Linked DNA regions of Macaca fascicularis. The protein of the gene in region 3 interacts with the protein of the main gene of each other region in a biochemical or structural test. Links are inferred from orthologs where the notes say so. Each region holds a gene or a part of one and is shown on either strand. Other genes may lie near its edges.

The links.
Region 1: the proteins of CUL2 (region 3) and CDC34 form a complex in vitro, tested with the Homo sapiens proteins (2 studies listed by BioGRID). The link is inferred for Macaca fascicularis from reciprocal best matches to the Homo sapiens genes CUL2 and CDC34.
Region 2: of the proteins of CUL2 (region 3) and DCUN1D4, one has a biochemical effect on the other in vitro, tested with the Homo sapiens proteins (2 studies listed by BioGRID, with this or other methods). The link is inferred for Macaca fascicularis from reciprocal best matches to the Homo sapiens genes CUL2 and DCUN1D4.

The regions. Positions count from the first base shown.
Region 1 is NC_088393.1:1,084,954-1,088,702, forward strand, and holds the start of CDC34 (ubiquitin-conjugating enzyme E2 R1), read left to right. Parts: upstream 1-918; 5' UTR 919-1,090; coding exon 1,091-1,267; intron 1,268-3,749. UniProt on the Homo sapiens protein: E2 ubiquitin-conjugating enzyme that accepts ubiquitin from an E1 ubiquitin-activating protein, and catalyzes its covalent attachment to other proteins by an E3 ubiquitin-protein ligase complex. In vitro catalyzes 'Lys-48'-linked polyubiquitination.
Region 2 is NC_088379.1:82,041,757-82,045,405, forward strand, and holds part of DCUN1D4 (DCN1-like protein 4), read right to left. Parts: intron 784-3,649; coding exon 713-783; intron 554-712; coding exon 514-553; intron 1-513. UniProt on the Homo sapiens protein: Contributes to the neddylation of all cullins by transferring NEDD8 from N-terminally acetylated NEDD8-conjugating E2s enzyme to different cullin C-terminal domain-RBX complexes which are necessary for the activation of cullin-RING E3 ubiquitin ligases (CRLs).
Region 3 is NC_088383.1:35,782,067-35,785,411, reverse strand, and holds part of CUL2 (cullin-2), read left to right. Parts: intron 1-1,994; coding exon 1,995-2,096; intron 2,097-3,345.

The DNA.
Region 1 (3,749 bases), on a different chromosome or scaffold from region 3:
AAAAAAAAGACTTGGGTGGGACAGAGGTCAGGCTGGGAGGAGGGCACAGCCAGGCTCAGGCTCAGCTTGGGGTGGGGGCTCCGTGGGGCTGGCGCCTCTCCCGGGTCAGGTGCTGAGCCGATGCTGGCTGGGGGGAGCCTCTTTCCCAGTTTCTCTGGGGGGCAGGAGCACCTTGCCAACCTCTGATGGCTCCAGCACCTGCACCCGCCTCACACCACATGGTGACTTCAACGGGGGACCAGGAAAGCCCTCGCCCCCTCCCGCCCTCAGAGCCCTCCCCGACCTCGCCCACTTCTCAGAGCTCCCGCTGTCGGGGGAACCGAGGCAGCGCCGCGCCTGGAAGCCGGGTCTGCACACCCCGCCTCGCTCCCGCTCCTCCCCTCCGCGAGGCCAGCGCGCCCCAGGACAGACTCAGCGCCCGTCCCCTGTATAGACGGGGAAACGGAGGCGCGGACGCGGGGTCGCGCCGGGGGAACCGGCCCTGCCCCTCCGGCCCCGGTCAGGACCTCGCCCCGCGCCCCGTTCACCGCCCGCAGCCCCGCCCCACGCCGGGACGTCACAAAACGACCCCAAAGCTGGGGGACCGGGCCAGCCACGGCCAGAGCAGCCCTGCCCGCCTCCGTGCGCACAGCGTCCGCGGTACTGGTCGAGCTGGGGGCGACGGCGGCGGCCTCGGGGATCGGAAGCGCCCAGGGTTGCGCGCTCGAACCCTCCCTCCCGGCGGCGGCGCTCGGCGCGGTAGGCGGAACCGGGACCGGGACTCCACTTCCCGGCGTGCCCCGCGGGCGGGCGCGCAGGCGCAGGTCGGGCCTGGCCGCGGCGCGCAGGCGCAGTCGGGGCCGGGCGGAGCGCGCAGGCGCAGCGGGGGGCGGGGCGCGCGGGCCGGGCCAAGGCGAGCGCTGGTGGGGCGGCGGCGCCAGAGCTGGTGGAGCGCTCGGGGTCCCCGGGCGGCGGCGGCGGCGCAGAGGAGGAGGCAGGCGGCGGCCCCGGCGGCTCCCCCCCGGACGGCGCGCGGCCCGGCCCGTCTCGCGAGCTCGCGGTGGTCGCGCGGCCCCGCGCGGCGCCGACCCCGGGCCCCTCCGCCGCCGCCATGGCCCGGCCGCTAGTGCCCAGCTCGCAGAAGGCGCTGCTGCTGGAGCTCAAGGGGCTGCAGGAAGAGCCGGTCGAGGGCTTCCGCGTGACCCTGGTGGACGAGGGCGACCTGTACAACTGGGAGGTGGCCATCTTCGGACCCCCCAACACCTACTACGAGGGCGGCTACTTCAAGGTGAGCGCGGCGACCCCCGCCCGGGTCCCTGAGCCCACGAGCGACCTCGGGCGCCAGGAACCAGCTCCCTGCCCCGCGGTCCCCGGGCGGGCCCGGCAGCCTCCTGGCTTGGGCTCGCTTCCCTTCTATGGCCGGGTCTCCCCACCCAGCTGTGCCCGGCCCCCTCCTCGGACGGTCCCGGGGACCTTCAGCCTCTGCTGCGGTCCCCGAGAATTCTCAGTTTCCTTGAAGGCACCGTCCGGTCCCCGGGTAGTCTCCTGGCCCGCAGAAGGGTGGCCCGGGGCCCTCCCGGTATCATCTGCGCGTGGGGCTCTTGCCCACCTCCTTCCTGGGGGGGGCTCGACCCCGGCTGCCTCCCCCTCCGCCCTTGCGAGAAAGAGGGAGCGGAGCCCAGGCCGCCCCGGCCTTTCTGCTGCCCTCCCCGCCCTCCCCGGAGGAGACAAAGAGGCCCCCCCCAGACCCCGCAGCTGCTATTGTTGGGGAGCTGGGCCTGTGAGCGGGGGAGCGAGGCCAGCCTGGGGGTGGCTGGCGCGGCCACTCGCTCAGGCTCCAACAAAGGCCCGGATGAGCCTTGGCAGCCGGGCCCTGCCTGGAAAGCGGCCACCCTTGCCGATAGCAGCCGGCCAGGCGCCCTGGGCTCCATCCCCGGGTTTATGTAACCTGCGCCCTCGGGAAGGCTGAGGCAGGGGCGTCCCTCCCACCTGCTCCCTGCAGCTCTCCCCGGGCCCCCGGCTCCGGCCCGCGTCCCGGACCCCGACCTCAGAAGCTCCGGGCTGCTTCATCCCAGCTGGCCTTGGCCTTTCTCAGATTCCACTGAACAGGTGGCTTCCTGTGACCCCAACCCCGAGTTCTGGGCCATTCCTTCTGCCCTCTGGCGGTTTCATTCCAAGCAGGTTCTTGATGTTTTTGTTGCCGTTGGGAGCAGGGAGACTGTTTCTGTCCAGTGTGGAAAGGACTCAGGCCAAAGCCTGGCCAGTTTTCTTGATCTCACGATCCAGACGTGACCTTTGGCTCTTGTAGAGTTCCAGGACCTCGTCCTTGGGGCCAGAGGGACAAAGTGAGGGGCCCCGTGTGAGAGGTGGGGATCGCGCACCCTGTCCAGGAATCCCCCCTCCCGCTGTCGCTGCCTGCCAAGAGCCTGGGCACAGCCGGGCCTGCTCTGCCCCGGCCAGCTGCGGGCATGGGGCCGAGGGACCGATGCCTCTCAGAGCGTGTGCTCTCCGGGCTAATTAATGTCTGAACCGCGCGCGCTCAGCGGCTGTGAGGGCAGCAGCCTGGTCTGCTGGGGGCGATTCCTGAGCTGAGGTTCTGGGTTACGGCAGAGGGTGGGACGTCCGTGGGTTGTGCATCTGGAATCGTGGGTCCCCACACAGGGAACAGAGTTTGAGCCTTGAGGTTGTCAAATGGTTTTAGCAGCCCCCTCCCCCAGCCCCTTTTTTCTGCTTGGGGGAGCAGCTGGCTGTGAGCAGGGGCGGCCCCACCTCGAGGCCAGGCCTGTGAGGCGGCTGCTGTTCTGGAAGGAAGGGATGCGGGTTCCTGGCTCCTGCCCACCAGACCGGTTGCCAGGGATTGTGGGCAGAGCCTCCTGGACCAGCATTAGGGGATAATCCGGTTTTCCGGATTTCCTGGGGAGGGGGCCTCTAGACATCTGCCGCAGGGTCAGTCCTCAGAGGCCAGCGTTGAGACGCGGGGGGGTGCTGCCACCCACCGGGGCTCTCCCTTCCCCGTGTGCCTGGGAGGGAGTTGGGGGAGCGTGGAAATACAGGAGCTGCTGAGTGCCCAGGGCCACCGCTGCTGCCCAGCCACTGCCTGCAGCCGCTGTTCCTTCAGGAGCCAGAGCGAGCCCTGGGGCAGGGGCCACCAGAGAGAGCCCTCCACGGCGGACTTGCCGTGTGCCATCGGCGGGGGCTTTGCTTCTCGGAGCCTGGGTTTGCTCCGGGTAAAAGACATGTTTGGAGGTGCTGAAAATAAGAGGTTTGTTGGGACTTGGTGGGGTTCGGTGCAGGTGAGGCCGCCTGGAAACCCAGCACCAGGCTTGGGGGGCCCGGAGTCTTGGGGAACTGCTGGGCAGTTCTGAGCCTGAAGTTCCAGCCTTGCTCTGTGGCTGTGGCCAAGTCCCTTACCTCATGGGGCCCCAGTGAGTTCCCTGTCAAACAGAGGACACCCCCAAGACCCCTGAGAGCCCTCCCTGTCCAGGAAGGACCTCGCCAACAACTGCTCTTTGGGGGTGCTGCCCTCAGCCTCTTGGAGTGCTGAGTGCCACCAGGACCCCTGACCCAGACACCCCCGTGCCTGGCACTGGGGCCCAGGAAGGAAACAGTGAGGCTTCCTTGTTTACCTGTTGGGGCCCAGGAGGGCCGTGGGTGGCGTCACGCCCCAGGCCGCAGGCCAGACAGCTCTGTCACCGGGCACGTGGCTGCAGTCCTTCCTCTGTGGCCGTCCTTGCCAGCAGGCCTGGACCCCCAGGGCCTGGATGGCCACA
Region 2 (3,649 bases), on a different chromosome or scaffold from region 3:
ACTTTAAACAAGGCCTCCCCGCAGGTGATTATAATGCCAGTTAAACTCTGAGAACCACAGACTTAGAGGACACCTTACACTAATCAAGCTTCAATTTTCCGATTCCTAAATCCTCAGTAACTATAAACACATACATACACACACATTAAATCATTTTTCAGCTCAATTTCTCAAATATTTGTGGAATACCTTCCAAACTGCATTACTGTAGCACCTTTTTAGTATAAATGAAAATACTGCAGTAGAGAAAAAATGGTATCTTGAAACAATTATTCAAGAGAATCTCGAGCCTCTTTAAAGGCATTAAAAAGTGCTTCCACAAGAGATTTCCTACTGGGAAGAAGCTATAACATGGCTGCCTTCATTACTCCCTGAAAAACAACCTCAGCCAAGGAACAACTTGTTAATGGAGTACATTATGACAATACAGCACATTCATAGCTAGTATTTCTCTTTCTTAATTTTACATTAAGAAGTTATTTAAAATTAAGTAGTGTTAGCATTTACAGATACCTGTTTGGTGATCGTCTTGGCCAATGTCTTCTGTTAGGTTCTGAAAGAAATATGTTCGTTATTACCAACAAATCACACACCGTTAGCATTCTCATAAACTGATATCCTAGTATCTAGAATCTAAATTTTTATCAAATACTCTTACACAAAATGACTACTTCAAACAGTTGGTAATTTTGTCTTTAAAAGAATGACTTACCAGCTTATTAAGGGTGTGGTAGATCTTATGAATATTTGCCAGTGTTGAGAGATGAGAGTTCAGCTGAAAATCTTGAAAAGAAAAAGGAAAAAAGTCAGCCTCATTTATTTCCAATATCATAAAAAAAAAAACAAACTCAGAAAATAAGCAAATGTTTTGATATAATTAAATACTATCTCAATTAACCTGACACTAAATTGTTTTAAAAACATGCAATTAGTGACCTACCTCCTAGAAATAGTCTGACAACAAAGTTAAATTCCCAACCAAATGTTAAAGTTCATGAAATTTTCATGTGAATTCTAAGGTAAAACAAAAAATACTTCAGTAGTTGTAAAATCCTGTCAGCAGTGAACTTGAACTTAATAGAAAGACATCAATGTTAGCATATTAAACAAATCATAAAAACAGATTAGTCTCAAATGAAATGTTCACTTTCCCCTCTCTTCTCTAGAAATACTGGTATAATTAAGTAAGCTCATGGCAAGAAAATGATAGAAAAGCATCTCAACATTAGTATTTCTTTTTTCTTTTTCTTTTTTTTTTTTCGAGACAGGATCTCACTATGTTGCCCAGGCTGAAGTGCAGTGGCGCAAAAACAGCCTCAACCTCCCAGGCTCAAGTGATCTGCCTGAGCCTGCAGGGTAGCTGGGACTACTAGTGTGCACCATCATGCACGGCTAATTTTTCTTTTCTTTTTTTTCTTGTAGAGACAGGGTCTTTCTATGTTTCCCAGGCTGGTCTTGAACTCCTGTGTTCAGGTGATCTTCCCGCCTTAGCCTCCCAAAATGTTGGGATTAAAGGTGTGGGCCACCACACGCATCCTCAACTTCAAGTAAAGTATGTTTGCATACATATTAGGCAATAAAAATGTAAGCTGAAAGTTTATTAATAATTTCATATGTAAGCACCACTGGAAGTATTTTCATAAAATATCAGGATTTACATTAGTTCCTTCTTTCCTATTAGTAAAGGTTAGTATGAAAATGACCATGAAAAGATATTGTAACTCTCCAAGTTATACCATTCTGATAAAAAGAAAGAAAGAAAAAAGCACTCTTTACTGAAACATTTTATTGAGGACACGTATCAGATCCAAAGAACAGACCCAAAGAGCAGGTGCTACATCAGGTGTCTGTGCTTGGGCTGGATCCTCTGGGCTGTTACTCTGAACCCTGAAAGCAAGCTGGCTTCCCTGTTCACAGTTAGAACGCTTTACTTTCTCTTCTAAAGCTTGTTGGGCATCCAGTTCTGAGTAGGTCTGCAGGGCAGAGGGGTTGGCAGAAGCAGAGCCCCTAACATTCACATGCGGTGTCAGGAACAGCAGGCCATACCTGTATACATACACGTGCATGTGCACTGTTCACAGTCATAGCCATCTAGAATGGTCCCAAAAACCAGCGTTTTGTGCTGAGAGACAGCCAGAGCAGGGCCTCAAGCTCTAAATGGCCCTCCAATACAGATATGCATGAATTTCTTAGCATCCGAATAGCCTAGCCATGCTTAAGGTAAATGATGACATAATGTGGCTCAGAATCTGGATTTTTCATCTAAATACAACTGCACAGAGGTTTAGAAAAGTATGTGCATTGTATACTTATTTATTGACATTTATATTTACTAAACAAGAACAGGGTAGAAGCTAGAAGCAACAACCCTCTCGCCAGCAAGAGGCATCTCAGGACCAGCAAGAGGTGCTGAGGAGCTTGAACATCCAACTCTTGCACCTCCACCTGATCTACTACCAAGCCATAGCCCCTTTTTTGTACTCTCTCAGATTAAATATAGGAAGACAAATGATACATTCCATTATCACCTTAATATATGAAGTTAAACTCTTGGGCTACCAAAAAGACAAAAAGCAAAAACAGAAAACTTTAGGCTCTGCACTCTGTTTTCACCGAGGACAAGGGAGGGGAGAGAAAAAGGGGCTTGCTAAAAGCTATTCCAGCAATGAGGTCTCTTCTAACTCTCCAGGCTATGCTTTTGTCATTTCACCACCCTGCTGTTAATTCAACTCCCAAAATTTCCATAAGAGAATCTAAATAAACCAAAACTGTTGTATGTTTCTCCCTCCTTTATATAAATATGGAAGAAGTAGACAAGACAAGAAACAAGTTATCCTCAATCTGGAATTCCAGGACTTTCGTGGGTTGGGCCCAACTCATACTCCAAATATCTTCACCACCCCACTCCACAAAACCCTTCCTTCCAACCCCACATTCTGCCCACTGCCCTTCCTACACATAATGTGTGCCCACACATGCGCGCGCACACACACACACACAACCACTCTATTCCTGTCAAAAATCCACTTTGCTTCACAACCTGAGTCTGGAGTCTTAACAGCTGGTTCAAATCTCAGGTCTACCAGTTATTTAACCTAATTCCCAATTTTCTCATCTGTAAAATGAGGATAAAAAATTCTCCTTCATAACGTTGTTGTGTGGTTGAAAATATTTATCAGACACCTATTACAACGCCTAGGTATATCAGGTACCCATTACAATACCTGGAACATAGTAAGTGCTCAATAAAAGACATCAATTCCCACTATATTTACTTATACCATTCTCCATACCACACAGCTGTCTAAAATAGTCTCTAACTTTTCCTCAGTCCAATTCTCGCCTCACATTAATGATCCCAAGGTCAGAGCTTCCTCTGTAATTGAGGCAGGTGGCCTGGTACATCTTTATAGCCTATGATGGTGATAGAGTTTGGATATATCTCCATCCAAGTCTTATGTTGAATTGTAATTCTCAATGCTGGAGGTGGGGCCTGGTGAGAGATGTTTGGATCATGCGGGCGGATCCCTCCTGGCTTAGTGCTGTCTTTGAGACAGTCAGTGAGTTCTCATGGGGTTCAGTCATTTAAAAGTGTGTGAGACCTCCTCTCACCCTCTCTCTCTCTCCTGCTTTCACCATGTGATGTGCC
Region 3 (3,345 bases):
CACATATTTAATATGTGTAACTCCATTCCAAGTGTTCTTAATGTCAGCACTCAATTAACTATCATCTGTTTTTAACCACCATATATTTTTGATGCCTGTCACAAGAATAACAAGCCATTAGTATATTACTTTTTTTCTCTGTAACTTTTTTTCTAGTTACAAGATTTCATTGTTTTGTTTTCATAGTATATCCTAGATGTTTAAATAGTTAAAAATGCAACAGAGGTGGGATTATATCTCCTTCAAATTATTGTGCTTGTAAGAAAAAAATTTCTATAAATAATGTTTTGTTTTTATTTTGGTAAAGTTAATAGCCTACGGTTTATTTCTCTCATCAATTCATTTTGCTGACATCCCGAAGATGATGATGACATTTTATAGTCTACAATTGAACAACTGTAAAAGGCATATATTCTGAAATTCAAATCAATGTTTTCATAATTTTGAGAAATGATTTTTCTGGCATCAGAATCTTAGCAAAATACGGAATTTCTTTTTTTTTTTTTTTTTTGAGACGGTGTTCCACTCTTGTTGCCCAGACTGGAGTGTAATGGCGTGATCTCGGCTCACTGCAGCCTCCACCTTCTGGGTTCAAATGATTCTCCTGTCTCAGCTTCCTGAGTAGCTGGGACATGCCACCATGCCCAGCTACTTTTGTATTTTTAGTGGAGATAGGGTTTCACAATGTTGGCCAGGCTGGTCAGGCTGGTCTGGAACTCCTGACCTCAGGTGATCCACCCGTCTTGGCCTCCCAAAGTGCTGGGATTACAAGTGTGACCACCGTGCCTGGCCAAAATAGGGATTTCTTAAGGTTAATTAATTATGGTTTTTAATTTTAGGCTAGTAAATGCTTGAAGGTTTTATATTTTTTTTCTAAAACATGCTGCCCAGAAATTGACAAAGTAAACATAGATTCCTTGTTTGCACTTTAAATTTTATTTTATATTATTTTTTATTTGTTTTTAAGGTGAGATCTCATTGTACCACCCAGGTTGGAGTGCAGTGGTGCCATCTCAGCTCACTGCAACCCCCACCTCCTGGGCTCAAGTGATAATCCCGCCTCAGCCTTCCAAGTAGCTGGGACCACAGGTGTGAGCCACTATGCCAGGCTAATTTTTAAATTTTTAGTAGAGACCGGATTTTGCTGTATTGGCCAGGCTGGTCTTGAACTCCTGAGCTCAAGCACTCTGCCCACCTCAGCCTCCCAAAGTGGTGAGATTATAGGCGTGAGCCACCATGCCTGGCCTTTTAATTTAATTATGAATCCGTCCATTCCTTAGCAGAATGTATTAGATTATTATTGAGAATTAGTTCATCTTCCAAATGCCTTTTGATCCTTCTGCCAGAGAAATTCCACCCTGTGATATCAGTGGCTTTCTTAAGCCTGATATGGAAGTTGTTATTCTAAAAATTGGCTTAACAGTTTTCCTCTGAGCAAAGGCCACTTGCTTCTTGAAGAGTGAATAAAAGATGGATTGAAGTAAACGTTTTCACCATCACCCCAGGTCACGGCAAATTGATGCTGTGTGCTACTGGAGGCACAGCTTTCTCCTGCCATCAGGTCATTTACAGTGGGTATTTTGTTATTGCAGCATTTGTAAAAAAAATTTGGTTGGTTTTTCAGAATGGGGTGATGGAAAAGTTATGAACTTTGGTGTTTCATAAAAATTAAAATGTCAAACTCTAGGCAATGAGCTTGACTCTTTTATCAAAAAGTAGTGTGTATGTAATAGTAGGACCAGCAAATATCTTATTGCCAAATATAAACTGCTTAAGATTCTGGCAGATGTAAAAGTAGAAAATAAAATTGGGTTTTTCCTGTTTGTTTGAACAAAAGAATTATTTTTCTCTTAAATTTGGTAATCTATAATATAAAAGTTATAAGAGTGGAGACTTTTTTGCTTGGTCATTCATTTAGTGGAATTGCTTGCAGCAAGCTCTTATTTATAAGATTTTGGTTTTTGTAAATATAAATGTTTTATTTTTAAATGTAGGAAGATATTGATGCAGAATCTTCATTTTCATTAAATATGAACTTTAGCAGTAAACGAACAAAATTTAAAATTACTACATCAATGCAGAAAGACACACCACAAGTAAGTGTTTTTAATGTCAAGTTTTTTTGAGGGGGAAACATTTAAGCATTGGACTTTACAAGTGTTTACACTGAGATTGTGCAAAACATTGCACAGCAAACTTAATAGTGGGGTATGTCTTTTCTGGTTTGTTGTTGGCATTTATTAACCTTACAATCAAACAGAAATCTCTACTTGTTTTTTAGTTTTTTCTAAGGAAAAGAGTATGGTTTTGTTGTATTTGCTCTTAAACCACTAGAATGTGTAACTTTACATTCTCTCCGAAAATTCCCACATTGAGAAGTAATAAAATTTCATATTTTTCATTTGTAAAATAAGGGAAAGTTCTACAGCTTTTTTTTTTTTTTCCTGAGACGGAGTCTCACTCTCTCACCCAGGCTGGAGTGCAGTGGTGTGATCTCGGCTCACTGCAAGTTCTGCCTCCCAGGTTCACGCCATTCTCCTGCCTCAGGCTCCCGAGTAGCTGGGACTACAGGCGCCTGTCACCACGCCCGGCTAATTTTCTTTTTGTATTTTTAGTAGAGACAGGGTTTCGCCGTGTTAGCCAGGATGGTCTCCATCTCCTGACCTCATGATCCGCCCGCCTCCCAACGTGCTGGGATTACAGGTGTGAGCCACCGAGCGTGGCCTACAGCTCATTTGTTTCAAAGAAAACTTGTCAGTAGAGAATGCTTCTTAAACTTTTATATGCAAATGAGCCACCTGGGCATCTTGTTCAAATGCAGATTGTGATCTAGTGGGTGTGGAGTGAGGTCCTAACAGGCCAGTGTGAGGAGGGGACCTCGGCTCTTCATTCTTTTAACTTAGCAGTGATTGTTGCTTTGGTCTAGGATAGACTGTTACTATCACTCATGCTTCCTGATTGCCTTCCGTGTGCAGTCCTTGGGCTGGTGCAGGATGTGAAGATAATATAAGACATTAGACCCTCTCCAGAAACGTAATTCCCCATGGGGGAGACAAATATTAATTGCGATTCACTTTGAAACCTAAAATGGTCAAGATTCCATTTTCCTCCAGGCTAATACATAAATATATAGATTGTATTTTGTCTTTGAAAAGCTATGAGGAGATCCTATTACTGTGGCATGGCCTGCTTCTATGCCTTGCTTCTCCTGTGTTTCTTGAGCTCCGTGGAGATAGGCCCCCTCTCCTGGCTTCTCTGCTTGAGCCACATAAAATGGCACTTCACAGCTGTTCTCTTTGAAGCCTGATCCAGTATGCATTTGGAGCTAATTACCGCAGTTGACAC